2 linked regions of the Anolis sagrei genome follow. The protein of the gene in region 1 purifies or fractionates together with the protein of each later gene. This does not show direct contact. Links are inferred from orthologs where the notes say so. Each region holds a gene or a part of one and is shown on either strand. Other genes may lie near its edges.

The links. Proteins that work in one complex are often made in the same cells at the same time.
Region 2: the proteins of EFTUD2 (region 1) and PPIE purify together in Homo sapiens (affinity purification with mass spectrometry; 3 studies listed by BioGRID and IntAct, with this or other methods). This does not show direct contact. The link is inferred for Anolis sagrei from reciprocal best matches to the Homo sapiens genes EFTUD2 and PPIE.

The regions. Positions count from the first base shown.
Region 1 is NC_090026.1:47,531,511-47,541,257, reverse strand, and holds the start of EFTUD2 (116 kDa U5 small nuclear ribonucleoprotein component), read right to left. Parts: upstream 4,125-9,747; 5' UTR 4,016-4,124; intron 1-4,015. Other genes in the region: CCDC103 (coiled-coil domain-containing protein 103), read left to right, coding at 4,481-4,597, 7,510-7,655, 8,409-8,541. UniProt on the Homo sapiens protein: Required for pre-mRNA splicing as component of the spliceosome, including pre-catalytic, catalytic and post-catalytic spliceosomal complexes. Component of the U5 snRNP and the U4/U6-U5 tri-snRNP complex, a building block of the spliceosome.
Region 2 is NC_090034.1:84,717,067-84,727,583, reverse strand, and holds the start of PPIE (peptidyl-prolyl cis-trans isomerase E), read left to right. Parts: upstream 1-6,077; 5' UTR 6,078-6,145; coding exon 6,146-6,176; intron 6,177-6,377; coding exon 6,378-6,476; intron 6,477-8,126; coding exon 8,127-8,170; intron 8,171-8,451; coding exon 8,452-8,478; intron 8,479-10,026; coding exon 10,027-10,108; intron 10,109-10,517. UniProt on the Homo sapiens protein: Involved in pre-mRNA splicing as component of the spliceosome. Combines RNA-binding and PPIase activities.

The DNA.
Region 1 (9,747 bases):
TTATCTCAGATTATCTGATGGTGCAGACTCATATAATCCAGTTTAAAGCTGAAAACCTGGGATCGGATCCTGGGATATCGAGCCTGCCTGAAAAGGCCTCCAGCCATGAAAGCCTTCAACAACACATAGCTATCATGCTCTTCTCAGCCTTCTTTTCTCCAAGTGATACATACCAGCTCCCTAAACTGCCCATTGTAATCAGCTGAGATCTGTATCTCGCCTGTACCTATAAAGCTTTGCAGTCCTTTCCTGTATTTATTATTTATTTATTTAGGTCATTTGTATCCCATCCTATCTCGACCTCCGCAGAGCGACTCAGGGTGGCTAACAGACCGGCACCCCATGGTGCCTACAACCAAAACATAAATATACAATTTAAATAACAATATAGCAATAAAACAGTATAAAAGACAATCAACAGTCAACAGTTGCCAGTTTACGTCATCATCCAAGGAGCGGATAGTCAGTTCCATTAAAGCCATCATGTCAGCAGGTCAACCTAATCTACAAAGGTCTGATCCCATAGCTAGGATTTCGCTTGTTTCCGACAGGTCCAGAGGGATGTAGCAGATCGAATTTCACTTGCGAGGGAGTTCCACAGCTGAGGGGCCACCACAGAAAAGGCCATCTGTATCCCTCTATCTCCTATCATCTTTTAGCTTTTACCGGCTGCTCTTTCCTACAATTCAAAATAGTTCAGTTCCATCGAGTTGAAATTTTATTTCCGCTCCAAACAGTAGAGCTTTGGGCTCTTCCAGACAGGCCCTATATCCCAGGATCTGATCCCAGGTTTTCAGCTTTAAACTAGATTATATTAGTCCACACGGCCAGATAATCTGGGATAAACAGATAACCTGGGATCAGATCCTGGGATATAGAGCTTTTCTGGAAGGGCCCTTTGACTATTTCATTCCGTGATAGAATAGCCACAGAAATGGGTTGTTATAGGTTTTTTGGGCTATATGGCCATGTTCTAGAAGCATTCTCCCCTGACGTTTCACCTGCATCTATGGCATCTATCAGCTTCCCCATGTGGTCAGTAGTTCCCTTGACGTATGGCAAGAACACTTTTGGCAAGATCCAGCCAGAGGAAAAGAGTTCTTGCCAAACATCAAGGGAACCACTCATTGCATAGGGAAGCTGATGAGGAAACACAACATACAAATTATATACAGACCCACCAAGAAAATCTAACAAATGCTACATTCAGCAAAGAACAAGAGGGATCCACTTACTTCTGCCGGAGTCTACCATATACCATGCAGCTGTGAACAAGTCTATATAGGGACCTCCAAATGCAGCATTGCCCAAACACAAATCAAGGAACATGAACGGCACTGCAGACTACTTCAGCCAGAGAAGTGAGCCATAGCAGATCACCTGATGAACCAACCTGGACACAGCATATTATTTGAGAATACAGAAATGCTGGACCACTGTAACAACCACCATGTCAGACTACACAGAGAAGCCATTGAAATCCATTATTATTATTATTATTATTATTATTAACTTTATTTGTACCCCGCTAGCATCTCCCGAAGAACTCGATGCGGCTTACAAAGGCCAAGGCCTCAAAACATGGCATAACAATACACAACTCAAAGCAAATCAAAACAATTAAAGCAATATCAAAAACAACAGAACAATAAAACAATACACCAAAATACAATAAAACTGGGGCCGGGCCAAATGTAGTGAAAACTCCAATAACAAGTCCCAGAAGCACTTTATTAGAATTAAGATTGCTGGCACACTGCACTTATCCTATAATCCTTACATATCACCTGTCACTTCAGCACTTTTAATCTGTACCCATTACTCTGGCCCGGCCCAGTTTTATTGTGTCTTGGTGTATTGTTTATTGCTTATTGTTTAATTTTGCTTTAACTGTTTTTAATTTTTTTATTTGCTTTAGGTTGTGTATTGTTATGTTGTGTTTTGAGGCCTTGGCCTTTGTAAGCCGCATCGAGTCCTTCAGGAGATGCTAGCGGGGTACAAATAAAGCTAATAATAATAATAATAATAATAATGGGTACAGATTAAAAGTGCTGATGTGACAGGTGGTATGTCAGATTTTAGAGTAAGTGCAGTGTGCAAGCAATCTTAAAGTCTAATAAAGTGCTACTGGACAATTTCAACAGAAAGGAGGAAACCGTGAAAATGAACAAAATCTGGCTACCACTATTTAAAAAACCCTCTAAAATCATAACAGTAAAACACTCAAACACAGGGAAACTCCAGAGAGGAAACAATCAGGGACAGCTAATCACCTCTCAACAAAGGATTTCCCCAGGCACTAACAAGCCACACCAAAAAACTGTCAGGCCTTCAAATGCTAATCAAGGTGGCCAATTGAAACATTCACACCTAGCTCCAACAGACAACAGTTCTTCCTCCCACCCTGGACATTCCACAGATATATAAACCCAATTTTTCTAGTTCCAACAGACCTCTCAACCTCTGAGGATGCAGGCGAAACGTCAGGAAAGAATGCTTCTAGAATATGGCCATGTTGTTGTTGTTCATTCGTTCAGTCATCTCTGACTCTTCGTGACCTCATGGACCAGCCCACGCCAGAGCTCCCTGTTGGCTGTCACCACCCCCAGCTCCTTCAAGGTCAGTCCAGTCACTTCAAGGATGCCATCCATCCATCTTGCCCTTGGTCAGCCCCTCTTCCTTTTACCTTCCACTTTCCCCAGCATAATTGTCTTCTCTAGGCTTTGCTGTCTCCTCATGATGTGGCCAAAGTACTTCAACTTTGTCTCTAGTATCCTTCCCTCCAATGAGAAGTCAGGCTTTATTTCCTAGAGGATGGACTGGTTGGATCTTCTCGCTGTCCAAAGCACTCTCAGAACTTTCCTCCAACACCACAGCTCAAAAGCATCGATCTTCCTTCGCTCAGCCTTCCCTAAGGTCCAGCTCTCACATCCGTAGGTTACTAAAGGGAATACCATGGCTTTGACTAGGCGGATCTTTGTTGCCAGTCTGATGTCTCTACTCTTTACTATTTTATCGAGACTGGACATTGCTCTCCTCCCAAGAAGTAAGCGTCTTCTGATTTCCTGGCCACAGTCTGCATCTGCAGTCATCTTTGCACCTAGAAATACAAAGTCTGTCACGGCCTCCACATTTTCTCCCTCTATTTTCCAGTTGTCAATCATTCTTGTTGCCATAATCTTGGGTTTTTTTTTTTATGTTGAGCTGCAACCCAGCTTTTGCGCTTTCTTCTTTCACCTTGATTAGAAGGCTCCTCAGTTCCTCCTCGCTTTCGGCCATCAGAGTGGTGTCATCTGCATATCTGAGGTTGTTAATGTTTCTTCCAGCAATTTTCACACCAGCTTTGCATTCATCAAGCCCCGCACATCGCATGATGTGTTCTGCATACAAGTTTAAAAGGTTGGGTGAGAGTATGCAGCCTTGCCGTACGCCTTTCCCAATCTTGAACCAGTCTGTTGTTCCGTGGTCAGTTCTGACTGTTGCTACTTGGTCCTTGTACAGATCTCTCAGGAGAGAGACAAGGTGGCTTGGGATGCCCATACCACCAAGAACTTGCCACAATTTATTATGATCCACACAGTCAAAGGCTTTAGAGTAAATGAAGCCGTAATAGATGTTTTTCTGAAACTCCCTGCCTTTCTCCATTATCCAGCGGATATTGGCAACCTGGTCTCTCGTTCCTCTGCCTTTTCTAAACCCAGCTTGAATATGGCCATGCAGCCCGAAAAACCTACAACAACCCAGTGATTCCAGCCATGAAAGCCTTCAACAATACATTAGCCAGAGAAATGATAGGGCTGGAAGGAGGCTCAGGGGCCATTGAGTCCTGCTCAACTGTAGGTCTTCCAGCTAAAAGCAATTCTAGCAAGTCTTTTCGAGGTTGTCCTTACACACTATGCTGTTGGGTCGTATTTTAACAATGTACTAGTTGTACAGTTAGAGGGGGGAAAACCCTCATATTCAGTTTAGACAGTTTAAACCCTCATATTCAGTTAAGACAGGCATGCAGCCCTACCTTCCTGCTTTTCCCTTTGCTTTACCGCCTTCCTCAGCACAGGCTGCGGCGCACGTTCGTTGCTACGTTCTCTTTCCCCGTCGCGCGAGCTGCGACGACAGAATGAAAGGCCCCCTTCTTGCCTCCGGGTGAGGCTGTCTACTCAGTTGCCGGAATGATTTCCTCCATTTCTTTCTTTAAAGGTGCAGTCCCGATATATATCGGTCTTGGTGGAAAGGCATAATACAACAATAACGTGTTATATTATTGTATTGTTGTATTTATGGCTATCTACCAAGACCGATATATATGGAGGAAAATAGAGGAAATCATTCCGGCAACTGAGTAGACAGCCTCATCCGTAGGCAACAGGGGGCCTTTCATTCCCTCGTCTATAGGAAATACGGAGTTGAGCTATTAGCTCCACGGCTGGAAGGCCCTACCCACCTCGGAGAGTGTCCTGGTTGCTATGGAAACCTCGTTGGCATGGGAACGCGAGGCCTACCCTGGAGAACGAACTCCAGCGCCCTGTGTAGACTGAAAAGCTGCCTTCTCTCGGTTTCGTGCTTTTGGTGTGGATTTTCCAGTGCAAATTTTCCTGAAGTATTAGTTGTACTCGCTAAGCGTTGTGTGGCCAACCCTCCATCCCTTTTTCTCTTCTTTCTTGCTCTCCTTCCCTAATTCTTTCCTTCCTTCCCTTTTCCCCCTTTCCTTCTCTTCTTCCTTTCTTCCCTTCCTCTTTCTCCCCTTTCTTCCTTCTCTACCTATTCTTGGACTGCAACTCCCAGCAGTCCTGATCTATCTATCTATCTCTAATCTATCTATCTGGAGGATTGCTGGAAGTTGCAGTCCAGGAATAGGAAATTGAAAATATTCAGGGAATAGGATGCTCTCAAAGAAATCCAAGGAAATTGCATTTTGAAAGCAGTGCATTTGGATCATCCTCCTCCCCTAAAGAGCCTGGTCTAGGGGATGCTGGGAGCTGTAGTCCGGAAGAGAGTGTGGCTATGCTATTGTGTGTTTTGTTTGCTGGGAGAGACATTTTTGTGCATGCGCTGTAGCATCTTTTGCTTTTTTGGCTTTTTAAGTCTCTTCTGCTTTGTTTGTCAGTGTTTTTATGAGTGATAGTCACTCATTGGCCTGATATGTGTATTGTGTCCAAATTTGGTGTCAGTTCGTCCAGTGGTTTTTGAGTTCTGTTAATCCCACAAACGAACATTACATTTTTATTTATATAGATATGTAAAAGGTAAAGGTTGTCCCCTGACATTAAGTCCAGTCATGTCTGACTCTGGGGTGTGGTGCTCATCTCCATGTCTAAGCCGAAGAGCCAGCGTTGTCCATAGACACCTCCAAGGTCATGTGGCTGGCATGACTGCATGGAGTGTCGTTACCTTCCCACCGGAGCGGTACCTGTTGATCTACTAACATTTGCATGTTTTCGAACTGCTAGGTTGGCAGAAGCTAGAGCTGACAGAGGAAGCTCACGCCGCTTCCGGAATCGAACCTGTGACCTTTTGGTCAACAAGCTCATCAGCTCAGCACTTTAACCCACTGTGCCACCGGGGGCTCATAGATATGTGATCCTTAAAAAATATGTAGTGATCCTTAAAAGAGACCCACAGAAGTTTATGATTTAAAACAGGAGTGGGAACCATTCGGGCTTCCATTATTGGGAGACTGCTTTGTTGCTGGGAGTTGCAGTCTCCCAATAGTGGAGGCCTGAAGTGCCTTATTTAGGCCCCTTCCACACAGCTGTATAAAATCCATATTGAACTGGATTATACAGCAATGTGGACTCAGGTGACCAAGTTCAAAGCAGATATTATGTATTATCTGCCTTGATATTCTGGGTTATATGGCTGTGAGGAAGGCCCTGAGAGCCTACTATATTAATGTCTCTTGATACTGGAAATGTATCTCCATCTTATGGAATGTGTTCTCTCTATTTTTTAATGCTCTCAGTTGTTGTTTTTACTATCAGGAGCAACTTGAGAAACTGCAAGTCATTTCTTGTATGAGACAATTGGCCGTCAGCAAGGACATTGCCCAGGGGACGCCCAGATGTTTGATGTTTTACCATCCTTGTGGGAGGCTTCTCTCCTCTCCCCGCATGGGGAGCTGGAGCTGACAGAGGGAGTTCAACCCACTCTCCCCAGTTTCTAACTGCTGACCTGTTGGTCAGCAGTCCTGCTGGCACAAGTGTTTAACCCATTGTACCACTGGGGACTCCATTTAATGCTCACAGTGCTGATGCTTTTGTAGCTAAAATTGTACAACTGGTGCAGAAGAGAGAATTGCATAGCCCAAACAAAATAATTATTGGGCTCCTTCCGCACAGCTATATAAGATCCCACATAATCTGCTTTGAATTGGGTTATATGGCAGTGTGAACACTGATAATCCACTTCAAAGCAGATAGTGTGGATTATCTGCCTTGATATTCTGGGTTATATGATTGTGTGGAAGGACCCTTAGTGTCTTGTTTTTTAGGCTTGTTTCTGTTGTTCTTTGGGGTGATTACTCAGAAAATTGCACTGTCTAGCATCAGCTCTAGTTTCTTAGATGTAGTTATGATTTTTTATGGGAGAGCAGATGAAGACTGCTACATGACAAAGGTAGAGCTGATAGGGGAAAACTGGTGACATTTTGGGAATCAACAAGTCCAGTATACCCAAAAACAAATGTAACATTTAAAGCACCAGAATGTGTGTTGGACAGTGTTATCAGCAGCCTCAATGAACTCTGAGATTTATAAAGGTGTGTGTGTCCACACACACACACAAATCATGATCTATAAATCAACAGGGGCTGGGAGTGATTGGTATGTTTCAAATGCAGTCTTATTCTTGGGCTAGAATCAAAAACTGTACCCAAGGAAGATGATGTTGTGAAGAAGGTCATACCTGATTGACTTTAAATGCCGAACAAAAGTGTTCCTTGCACATTTGTAATAGATTCCATTTGTACCCATCTGAATTTGGCGAGGAGATGCTCTCTTACAGTTAAAATAATTGGTATGCAGCCAGGTTTTGCTGCTTGAATTGAGAAGAAAAAAAGAGTTAGGAGTTGTGAGCTGGCTTAATGTGAAGCACCACGCGTCAGGGTGCAAGCAACTCCTGCCAAGATCTGGATTTGCCAATATGCTGAATCAATTTGGCCCTAAGGGGGGCCTGCTAATATAGCTGTAAAATTGACTAGTTATTCAAAAGATGCTGTAAATCTGTTCTTTCTCCCTTAAAAAGCTGGCTTCTGTAGGGCTCCTTCAGCCCATTGACTGTGGTTACTTTGGGAAGTGGAAAATGCATAACAGTATGCTCAGATGGTAACTAATATCATCTGGTTTCTGTATGTGTGTTTGTGCATATATTCGCTTATGATTTATTTGGACTGATCTTTCTTCCTCTTGTTTAATATCTTTGTATCCTCCAGTTAAAGTTGTTCAGCCCCAATTTTTGGCATAAGAGTTGTTGTTTTAATTAAATATTATACTAGTTTACCTGTGCTGCTCCTAGGTCTTAAGAATGGAAGGCATGATAGATTTCCGTACTTTGGAAAAAGAGTTGGAACAAGCGATTGCCAGTGATGAGAAGTACAAGAGAGAAAACGATGCCAAATTTCGAGCAGTGCGCCAGAAAGTAGCATCCTATGAAGAATTCAGGTTTCTTGAGTCTTATTAATTCCTTTCTTGATGAGAAAGAGGGGGTAGATAAAACAAAATACTTATCTTTAGAGCAGCTGCTTGTGATTTTATCTCAATCCATATACAGCTGTTAAGTTAATACAGTTTAGCATCTGATGTATATGGCATACTAACCAGCAGTTCCCAAATTAAAACAGACTTGCACCAAGAACAACTGGCATGACTTTCCCCCACAGTGAAATCTGTTCTATAGACATTAATAGGTATGTTGTTAATAGTAATTATACAGTAAATAGAACATGAAATGTTCGTGCACACCCATTACTGTTTTGCAAAGTGGTAATAAAGTGCTGCTTCTTCCACTTCCAAGTTTTATTGTTTGGATATCTGAGAGAAAGGAGGCATCCTATAAAAGGATTAAATGGAGCAGCATTTTTTACGGGCAGCTACAAATGCAGGTAGTTAGAGTATGTAAATTTTGCCATATGCAGGCTACCACATTAAATTGTGGCACATTGAAGGTATTCACTTTACCATATGACTTAGTTGTTTTAGTTGTTTGTAGGCATCTGAAGTTTCTTTGTCCTTTGGACAAGCTGAACAGGTACTTGGCACTTGAATGAATACAATACTAGGTAAAATTGTTGTGCCTTTAATAATTTTATTAAAGAAAAAATTTCAAAAAGTAGACGCTTTCTTAACTCCACAACTTTGTATTTAATCAGACTACTGTTGAACTTTTAATAATGCACACTTTTTTGTTTCCTGTAGGGATATTGTTCGAGCATCACACTTAAAGCCTTTAGACAAAGGGGACAAAATGAGGAGCAAAAGAAGCATGTTATGGAATTCCTGTGCATTTAAATCAAACTGCAAAGAAGAAAGTGGAATAGAATTGTCTCAGGTGAAGTAGCTGTTCTTGAAGTTTTTTTAAATCTGTGGTCTCTTCCGAGCCAGATTCCTCTTAAAAATCACAGTAATTCTTGGTTTTAACAGATTTTCTTTTAATGTAGAGACTGGAAGTATGTTGCTGCATATACCTTTTTATATAATTTTTGATATTGACATTTCTTCCTCTTAATGAGGAACTATGAAGCAAGCATATACCAATAACAAATTGCTTCAATGTTCAGAGTGTAAATCCTGTGTCAATGATGAATCCTCTTCCCCATCTTTGAGAATGTCTTTTTAAAATTATGTTAATTTTGTCCCTTATATCCTACCTAATATCCTACCTTTTGCCCATTATTTATTCTACAAGATTAAAAAAAATAAAATTGCATGGAAACTATCTGCATATTTTGAACATCATAGGACTTTGCTTAATACATGCAGAAATAGGCATTTAATAACATGTAGTATTTCCAATATTAGTGCTAAATGCAGAATTTCAGTGGAAATGTCATGGCACAGAATTTGACATGTGTTGCAGCAAAATCTTGCATGTGTCAGTTGTGCTAATAAACCCATTGCAAATGTGTGCAATGGAAAAATTAGATGGATTTACAGCCCATTTTGAAAATAGTATTTATTTATTTATTTATTTATTTGTAGCATTTATATTCTACCCTTCTCACCCCATAGGGGACTCAGGGCGGATTACAGTGTACACATATATGGCAAACATTCAATGCCAATTTTGACATACAAAATATACAGACATACACAGAGGCTATTTAACTTTTTCTGGCCGCCAGGGGAGCTGTCGCTTTCATCGTCCATCTGTGACACTGACGAAGTACTTCCGCATTCCCCGCATGCTTTTTTGCTGGAGTGCTTTGCTGGAGTCTTTTTTTAATGGCCTCATAAATTAGTTAATTTAGCCTCCCCACACTTTAAGGTGGTACCTAATTTTCCTACTTGACAGATGCAACTATCTTTCGGGTTGCAAAGGTCAACAACAGGCTACACAGTTGGTTGGAAACCCACTCCCACCTGGGCTGGCTTCGAACTCATGACCTTTTGGTCAGAGTGATCTTAATGCAGCTGACACTCAGCCAGCTGCGCCACAATCCCGGTACTTGATTTTCGTTGAGGAAGGATTTGGGGAATTCAGCATGGAATGCTATGTTTCCTCTTTAAATCTTAAAGTTTTCATAAGGGATGTTGC
Region 2 (10,517 bases), on another chromosome or scaffold:
TACCCAGCCCTTGCTCAGGGTCAACCTAAGTCTGACATGACTTGAAAGCATACAACAACAATCCTATCTCATCGGCCAAAAGCAGGCCCACACTTCCCATTGAAATACTAATAAGTTTATATTTATTAAAATTGTTCTTCATTTTAATTATTGTAATGTTTTAAGTGTTTTTTGCACTACAAATAAGATGTGTGCAGTGTGCATAGGAATTCATTCATTTTTTTTCCCAAATTATAATCCGGCCCTCCCAACAGTTTGAGGGACTGTGACCTGGCCCTCTGTTTAAAAAGTTTGAGAACCCCTGGTTTAGAGGCTCATATACACTGTTTTATGAGCCTCTGAACCAACACAATTGGTGCTTACTCTATAATTCTCAAAGCGAAATGGTCAGAATAGTAAGAATCGGGAAACCAATATGCCTTTATGGTGTTGGGTCTGAGTTCATCTGCAAAGCCAACCAACCCAAAGGCCTATGAAATCATAGGGGGATTTGTGAACCTTAGTTGAGAGATTCAAAATCTCCATGCCATCCTTGTTGCACAAATACATTCCTTTTCTTACATTCATCAAACAAATGCTATTTTAAATATTAAAAATATCATGTGTTTTATCTAGCAGGATGTTGTGTCAAATAAACTATCATTTCCCAGTTAAAGTACTGAGAAGTAACCTCTCTTAAGTGCTGCTCTTTAGAGGCATTGGACCTCTTCAGATTACGTACAGCCAGAGAAACTAGTAACTATATAGATCTTTATTGATGAATTGTAAAGGTTTTCCCTGACATTAAGTCTAGTTGTGTCCAACTCGGGGGGGGGGGGGGGGTGCTCATCTCCATTTCTAAGCCGAAGAGCCGGCATTGTCTGTAGACACTTCCAAGGTCATGTAGCCAGCATGGCTGCATGGAGCGCCGTTACCTTCCCGCAGAAGCCATAACTATTAATCGACTGACATTTGCATGTTTTCGAACTGCTAGGTTGGCAGAAGCTGGGCCTAACAGTGGGAGCTTACTCCACTCCCTGGATTCGGACTGCTAACCTTTCAGTCAGCAAGTTCAGCAGCTCAGTGGTTTAACCCACGGCACCACTAGGGGGCTTGTTGTATTTTGTGGCAACAAATTCCTTCATTTTAACTACTGCACAAGAGTGTCATACAGGGGAAATCCAGACAAGAATCGATCAGGGCCAGCTAACACTTCCCAACAAAGGATCCCGAGGCAGCAACCAGCTAGACTTTGAAACTGCAAGGCCATTAAATACTAATCAAGTTAGCAAATGGCAACATTCACACTTGCCTCAAACAGACAAAAGCGTTCTTTCTCCCACCCTGGACATTATTCCACAGATATATAAATTTCACTTGCCTAATATCCAACAGACCTCACAACCTCTGAGGATGCCTCCCATAGACGTCATCAAAAATACTTCTAGAAAATGCACTTACAGCCTGGAAAACTCAAAGCAAACCAGTGATTCTGACCATGAAAGCTTTCGACAACACACACATACAACATCTAACGCTTTAAAAGAGAAGGACAAGATAAAAGGATGATTATTCAGAAGAAAAAGCAGGCAGAAACACACAAAGAACAGAAAAAAGAAATAGAGATTTTGAACTTTGAACAATGCCTAAGATTGAGATGGGCTATACAAATGGACTGGTTATATAAAATTATCTTTGGTGTAATATAGAGAAAAAGCATGATAATTATAAAATTTAAGAATAGATTTCTTGTGAAACGATCTTATGAAAAATTATGCTCATTTTCTATTGAAGAACTGGAAAAGAATATATGAAGATCACAAAACAATGTGAGAAGACACATTGAAGAGACAACCAATGGACTTAAAGTTGTTAGAATCTTCACTATTATAACAAATATGTGTTAAAGAAATAGAGATGAAGATTTAGTTGTAACGATGACAATTTTGTAAAAGGAACCCCCCATACCCCAACAACCCCCACCCTCTTTATTTTCTCCTTGCGGCATAATAGAGACTGTAAATATGCAACTAACCAATAACAAATCTATTTTCCCATTTTTTTCTTCCCCTTTCCCCCCACCCTCATGTAAATGTTTAATAAACATTATGGGGGGGGGGGGGGAGAGGTACAGTCAGTCTTCCACATTTTCAGAGGTTTGAAGCACAGGACCCTGGTGAAAGTGAAGAATACAAATAAATGTTTTGGTTTTTTTACTAGACAGAATATCTCTAGGAATGGATACAGGGGTTCTCCAGATGTTTTGCACTTCAATTCTCAGAAACCTCAGCTCCCTTGATCAATAATCAAGGATTCTGGGCACCAAATTTCATCATCATCATCACTTTATTTCTTAATTAGTCGCTCTCCACCAAATTGCTCCGAGCGACTTACAATTTAAAATAGCTTATACACAATATAAAACATTCAACATAAAAACATTCAGCAGTGACTATGGCAAAATTTGATCCAATTACTTAAATGCACAACCAAACAGCCAAGTCTTGAGCGCCTTTACAAAAGGTTGCAACTCTGACATTGCTCTAATATATGGAGGCAATGAGTTCCACAGAATTGGAGCATAGATCAAAAAAGCTCTACGCCTTGTAGCTTCCAAATGTGCCTCCCTAGGACCTGGTATGTATAGGAGATTTTCCTGGGTGGATCGAGGTGACCACTGATGGGGAAAAGGAATGAGGCAGTCCCTAAGATATAAAGGTCCTTGGCCATTTTGAGCTCTAAATGTCAGGATCAGTATCATGTAAGAGATCCGATGTTCTATTGGTAGCCAATGCAGTTGTTACAGAATCGGTGTAATATGGGGTCTTATAGATGATCCCGCTAGCAACCTGGCTGCCGCATTTTGGACCATCTGAATCTTCTGGGTCATTGACTTCGGAAGGCCAGCATATAAGGCATTGCAATAGTCCAACCTAGTGGTGACTGTTGCGTGGATTACCGTTGCCAATGCTTCTACCGAAAGGTAGGATGCTAATTTCCTTGCCTGGCGAAGATGAAAAAAGGCCTGCTTACTTATGGCAGTGATCTGGCCCTCCATCGTCAGTGATGAATCCAACACAACCCCAAAGCTTTTAACAGTGGCAGACGGAACCAGAGCTTCCCCGTCGAAATCAGGCAGAGACTGGGTTAATTCTGGCGGCTGGCCGGGCCAGAGTATCTCAGTTTTTGCAGGATTGACTTTTATTCGTCTTGCTCGTAACCAACTCATCACTGCTTCCAAACACAGCTTAAAGTTCTCAGGAATCACGGTTGTCCCAGGTTCGAGACGCAAGAGTAGCTGGGTATCATCTGCAAACTGGTAGCACTCTATGCCAAAGCTCCGCACCAGTCCAGCAAGTGGTCGGACGTTGATGTTAAATAACAGGGGCGAGAGGATAGCACCCTGGGGAACTCCACAGCAAAGGCAGGAGCTCTCAGAGCTTTGGCCTGACCACTCCACCCTCTGTCTCCGGTCGCGGAGGAATGAATTGAACCATTTGAGGGCTAAACCTCGTACACCAGACGGAGCCAATCGATGAATCAGCAAGTCATGGTCCATGGTGTCAAATGCAGCTGTGAGGTCCAAGAGTACCAATAGCGCTGATCCGCCTCGGTCTAACTGATGACGAATTTCATCAGTAATAGCTACCAAGACAGTCTCTGTTTGAAAACACATGGAAGACTACAGTCTGGGAAACAGTCTATAGTCAACTTACAATTGAAGCTGAACATAGATGCACACTGGAGGAACTAGTGAACTGTCCTCTAGAAATCCCTGGATCCTCCAGGATGAAGATTGAGTCACACTGGAGAACCTGGGATTCCTAGAGAGAACATATTTACATTAAATCCATGAATAAACAAACAGGAAAGATTAAGTCCCTGATTGTCCTCCATCCAAGAAAGCTTCAGGGCAATGCGTTGTTGAAGGCTTTCATGGCTGGAATCTCTGGGTTGCTGTGAGTTTTCCAGGCTGTCTGGCTATGGTCCACAAGCATTCTTTCCTGACATTTCTCCCAAATCTATGACAGGCATCCTCAGAAGTTGTGAGGTTTGTTGGATACTAGGCAATTGGGGTTTATATATCTGGAATGCTCACAATGAGGAAATAACCTGTCTGTTGGAGGCAGGTGTGAATGTTGTAATTAGCCACCTTCATTAGCCTTGAATATCCTTGCAGCTTCAAGGTCTGACTGCTTACTGCCAGGGGGAATCCTTTATTGGGAGATGTAGTTGGCCCTGATCTGAATTTATTATTTATTATATTTGCGGTATTTGTATGCCACACTTCTCAACCCTGAAGGGGACTCAGGGAGGTTCACAGTGTTGGCAACAATTCAATGCCATTGATAAAAAACAGTATAAAACATCAAAATTGTCCCTCCCTTGATAAAACATTAAACATTATTACAGTGTTCCCTCACTTATTGCGGGTGTTATGTTCCAGAACCACCTGTGAAAAGTGAAAATCCGCAAAATAATTATTTTAATATTTATATATCATTTCAGTAGGTAAAGGTAAAGGTTTTCCCCTGACATGAAGTCCAGTCGTGTCCGACTCTGGGTATGGTGCTCATCTTCATTTCTAAGTTGAAGAGCTGGCGTTGTCCATAGACACCTCCAAGGTCATGTGGCCAGCATGACTGCATGGAGCACCGTTACCTTCCCACCAGAGCAGTACCTATAGATCTACTCACATTTGCATGTTTTCAAACTGCTAGGTTGGCAGAAGCTGGGGCTGACAGCGGAAACTCACACTGCTCCCTGGATTCAAATCTGCAACCTTTCGGACAAGCTCAGCAGCTCAGCGCATTAACCCAATGCACCATCGGGGGTTCCTTATTTCAGTAGTTATACACTATTTTAAGTCTTTATAAACCCTCCCCAGACACTTATACACTACATAACCCTCCTTGAATGTGTTGTTCACATAATCCTCAGCTCCGGCTTTATCTGCAGAGGCAGCCTCTCCATACAGACAAACGCTCTTAAGGCCAGAGCGCTTCTAAAATTAATCAAACCTGCCATGTGATCGTAAAGTTGCTTGGCCTTAGTCCGACCACGCACACGTGAGTCCGATGCTAATGTGAAATGGAAAAGCAGAGAATAGCTGCGCACAAGATTGTTGTTTTACCAGGTAAAGGTAAAGGTTTCCCCTGACATTAAGTCCAGTCGTGTCCGACTCTGGGATGTGGTGCTCATCTCCATTTCTAAGCCGAAGAGCCAGCGTTGTCCATAGACACCTCCAAGGTCATGTGGCTGGCATGACTGCATGGAGCGCCATTACCTTCCCGCCGGAGAGAATGCCTCTAGAACATGGCCATATAGCCCGAAAAAACCTACAACAACCCAGTGATTCCAGCCATGAAAGCCTTCGACAATACAGACCTCACAACCTCTGAGGATGCCTGCCATAGATGTGTGCGAAACGTCAGGAGAGAATGCTTCTGGAACATGGCCACACAGCCTGAAAAAAATCACAGCAACCCAGTGATTCCGGCCATGAAAGCCTTCGACAACACATAACCAAAAAGTGGGAGGAGAGAAACCAAACCTAAAAATGTATTGTTGAAGGCTTTCATGGCCGGAATCACTGGGTTGTTGTAGGTTTTTCTGGGCTATATGGCCATGTTCTAGAGGCATTTTCTCCTGACGTTTCGCCTGCATCTACAGCAAGCATACTCAGAGGTAGTGAGGTCTGTCGGAAGTAGGAAAATGGGTTTATATATCTGTGGAATGACCAGGGTGGGACAAAGGTCTGCTGGAGCTAGGTGTGAATCTTTCAACTGACCACCTTAATTAGCATTTGGTGCCTGGGGTAATCTTTGTTGAGAGGTGATTAGATGTGCCTGATTGTTTCCTCTCTGTTGTTTTGCTGTTGTAATTTTAGAGTTTTTTTTTAATACTGGTAGCCAGATTTTGTTCATTTTCATGGTTTCCTCTTTTCTGTTGAAATTGTCCACATGCTTGTGGATTTCAGTGGCTTCTCAGGAGAAAATGCCTCTAGAACATGGCCATAGAGCCCGGAAAAACCTACAACAACCCAAACCTTCAAAGGCAGGACGCTCTGCTTTGACGCAGAAAGCAGTGCGCGCGCTCCTCCTTTTCCTCCTTCCGGCCGCTTTTGGAATCCGTTTCCGGTCGGAGGGGGATTGTGGGAAGGCAAATGGCGTCCACCAAGAGGGTGCTGTATGTGGGTAAGGAGAAAAGACTGGGAAGAGAAGGGGGCGGCTTTCAAAGCTGGGGAGACCTTGGAGGCGGCGGCAGAAAGGCGCCTCGTCGAGCCAAGCGGGCAGGAGTTCTTGGGCCTGGGTTAGGGTTAGACTTGTAGGCCTGCCCTCCTTGCCTTCCCAATGGCGACGTAAGGGGCCTCTCTCTTCTTGTCCCCGTCTCCCTAGGCGGCCTGGCGGAGGAGGTGGACGAGAGGGTGCTGCACGCGGCTTTCATCCCCTTCGGAGACATCACCGACATCCAGATCCCTTTGGATTATGAGACAGGTGAGGAGGAAGGTGGGAAGGAGAGGAAAGAGAAGGGAAAGGAGAAGGAGAGTAAATAAAGGGAGGAGAAGAAAAGGGAGAAGAAAAAGGGGGAGAGGAAAGAGGAGGATAAAGGGAGGGGGAAAGAAGAAGGCAAAGAGGAGGGAGAGAGGAAAGAGGAGGAGAATAAAACAGGAAGAAGAAGAGAAAGGAGAAGAAAAGGATGAGGAAGGAAGATGAGAACAAGACGGAAAGTGGAGGAGAAGGAGAATAAAAGTGGGGAGGAAGAAGAAGAGGGAGCGAAAAGAGGAGAAGAAAAAGAGGGGGAAAGAGGAAGAGGAGGAAGAGAATACAAGGAAGGCGAAAGAAGGAAGAAGAGAAAGGAGAGGGAGAGAAAATAGGGGGAGGAGAAGAAAGGGAGGGGGAAAGAAGAAGGGAAAGAGGAGGAGAATAAAAGAAGGAAGAAGAGGGAGAGGAAAGAGGTGGAGGAGACTAAAAGGGGCAGAAGAATAGAAAGGAGAATAGAAGGATAAAGGAGGGAAGATGAGATCGAGACGGAAAGTGGAGGAGAAGGAGAATAAAAGTGAGGAGGAAGAAGAAGAGGGAGCGAAAAGAGGAGAAGGCAGAAAATAAAAAGGGGAAAGAGAAAGAGGAGGAAGAGAATAAAAGGAGGGGGAAAGAAGGAGAATAAAAGGAAGGAAGAAGAAAACGAGATGGAAAGTGGAGAAGGAGATTAAAAGGGGGGAAGAGGAGAAGGAGGAGAGTAAAAACGGGGAAAGAAAAGAAAAAGAGGAGGAAGAGAATAAAAGAAGGAAGGAAGAAGAGGAAGAAAAGAGGTGGAGGGGAATAAAAGGGGGAAGAAGAATAGAAAGGAGAAGAAAAGGATGAGGAAGGAAGATGAGAACGAGACAGAAAGTGGAGGAGAAGGAGAATAAAAGGGGTGAGGAAGAAGAAGAGGGAGCGAAAATGAGAAGGAGGAGAATAAAAAGAGGGGGAACAGGAAGAGGAGGAAGAGAATAAAAGGAGGGGAAAGAAGGAGAACAAAAGGAGGAAGGAAGAAGAGAACGAGGTGGAAAGTGGAGAAGGAGAATAAAAGGGGGAAGAAGAGGAGAAGGAGGAGAGTAAAAACATGGATGTGGGACCAGGTCTTTGGGTAATCTGTCAAACTGACAAGGACAATGGCGACTAGAGCTTTGGAAAGCATTATGATAATGCTGAATGGACTTGTGGATTACAGAACTCGGCGAACGTTGGCCACCAGATTGGCTTTTTTTTATTAGTTGTTATTGTATTAGTTGAATGTTTTAACTATTTATAATTGTTGCTGTTATATATTTTACTATGTTGAATTGTTGGCATCGAATTGTGCCGGTTGTAAGCCGCCCTGAGTCCCCCCTACTTTCTAATGTTTTAAATGGAGTCTCTGTTCTTGCAATTTGTATCCATTGCTCCATTTGTCCTGGTCTCCAGAGCAGCAGGAAACACACCTTTCCCGCTCCTCAGCGAGACATTTTTTAAATGTTTCAAAGAAAAACAGTAGTTATTTTTCTGACCTGCCTTTTTTCAGTATGAAATTAGGCTTCTCATAATAGTTTTACATGGAGGTCTGGTTGTCTATTGGTTGCCCATAAGGTTTGCTAAACTGATTATCCTTTTCTCATATCTCTGCAGAAAAGCATCGGGGTTTTGCTTTCATTGAATTCGAACTGGCTGAGGTAAGGAAATGCTGACATGTTGGCACCCCAAAAACCAAACATTTTTTGCAGAGGGATCCTATAGCACTTTAGAGCCCCAGAGAACAAGGTGAGTGGGCTAAGCTTTGGTAAACTCAGTTCTGCCTTCATCTCACTTCTTGTTGTTCAAGAAGGACTCTCCTTAACTTTAAATGGCACAAGGAAACCTAAAACACAGTGACCCCCAAGCATGGTATTTGGGGGCAACTTGAAATAAGGGATGATGAGTTATCAGTAAAAATATATCTTCTTTTCTTCTGTAGGATGCTGCAGCCGCCATCGACAACATGGTACGTCTCTCTTTAGATTTTCTGAATTTCATTTTGTGGAAAGATGAAATCCCCGCTCATTCCTAACAATATTTTCTGGTAGAAGTGAAGTAATCTGTTTTATAGACTCCGCTTTGATGGTAGGTTTGTGCACAGAGTCCTTCATTTTGGTTTTGCAAAAAGCACATAGAAAATCTCCCTTGTTCCAATACAGAGTTCTAGCTGAATGGTTCCAGTAAGATTTATTTTTAAATTAAGCAGTCTGACTTTTATGTGCTAAAAAAAAGAGAATACAGAATGAGGATGTCAGTTGTATGAGGGTTCTCCGGAAAGTAAGGTTACAAGGGACGTAGCTCTCGCGGGGAAATTTCTCGTAGGAAGTTGGTATCACTTCCATGTAGCGGGAAGCCAGCGGAAGCGAACAAGTAGTGCCAGTCATCAGTAGCTCATCGACTGGCGTGGTGAAGGTTAGAGATGAGCGTCCTCATTCCATTTCCCTCCGAGTGCAAAGTTTGTGCTGTAATACGCTACTGAAATGCTAAGGGCATGAACGCTGCTGCTATTCATGGCAAAACCGTTTCAGTTTATGGAGAAGATAGCATGTGACAAAATGGGTACGGAATATATTGTGAGACCATGAAGAAACTTCGCAAAGCCATCCAGAACAAATGTGATGGGATACTGACGGCGGGAGCCTATCTCCTTCATGACAATGTGCATCTGCACACCACTCATGCAACTCAAGAGTGGTTGACTTCATTTGGTTGAGATGTTTTAAGCCACTCCACTCACAACCCCGATCTCACACCCAGTGACTACCATCTGTTTACTAAATTGAAGGAACACCTGGGTGGAAGACACTTTTCCAACCACGACAAGGTGAAAATCGGAGTGATGAACTGACTGAAAAAGGTAGAAGGAGACTTCTATGACACAGGCATCAAAAACTCATCCCACTGATGACAAAATGTATTGAACTAAATGGTGATTGTGTGGGAAAATAACGTAATACCTATGCTGCAATCCATGTAAGTTTTATTAAAATATATTCATTCTTTGTCTTTTAAAAAATAGATATAACCTTAATGTATTATTGAAGGTTTTCATGGCTGGAATCACTGAGTTGTAGGTTTTTCTGGCTATAGGGCCATGTTCTAGACCTCACAACCTCTGAGGATGCTTGCCATAGATGCAGGCGAAACGTCAGGAGAGAATGCTTCTAGAACATGGCCATATAGCCCAAAAAACCTACAACAACTCAATTATAACCTTACTTTCTGGATAACCCTCGTAGAATCCAGTGGCAACAAAGAGGGCCAGGGGCAGGGAAATTAGTAGTGTAGTCCACTGAGAAATATGTGGGCATGAAAATGACTAAAGTGAAAGTATGGACAAACATGTTTTGCCTGCTTTAAGAGCCAACATAGTAAAATGGCTGCATTTATCCGGGACAGTGAAGTCCGTTTTCCTACATGATACTCATGTTAAGATGCTAAATCTAACCTACCTTATGTTGGGCTTGTATGAGAATTACATGATGATTTCAAAGTAATCCTCTCCCCTCCTTAGAATGAGTCTGAGTTGTTTGGGAGGACAATCCGCGTCAACTTGGCCAAACCGATGAGGATCAAGGAAGGCTCCTCTCGCCCAGGTAAGCCATGCAATTGGGACAGGAAGAATCATAGAGTTGGAAGAGACCTCGTGGGTCATCCAGTCCAACCCCCTGCCAAGAAGCAGGAAAGAATGGTTCTTCACCTTTGTGTTTCTGTTTGTGTGTACTTTTGGACCAGGGGAGATTCTGTCTGTGAATCCTGAGTTAAATATACCTGAATAGGAAGGTTCCAAAGATTTTTTTCATCTTGTGTATAAACATCCCAGAAATACTTATGTAACAAAATTTGGAAAAAAATGCTCTTCCTAGTTTGAAAATACGTTTTAATTGTGTGGTACTTACTTTGAAAGCAGTTGTTCTACTCCAGAAACTTCGTTTTTGTGGCTGCCACAATCTGTAGAATTGGTTGAGACTGGGATATTCATTGCTGCAGAATATCCTGCAGGAT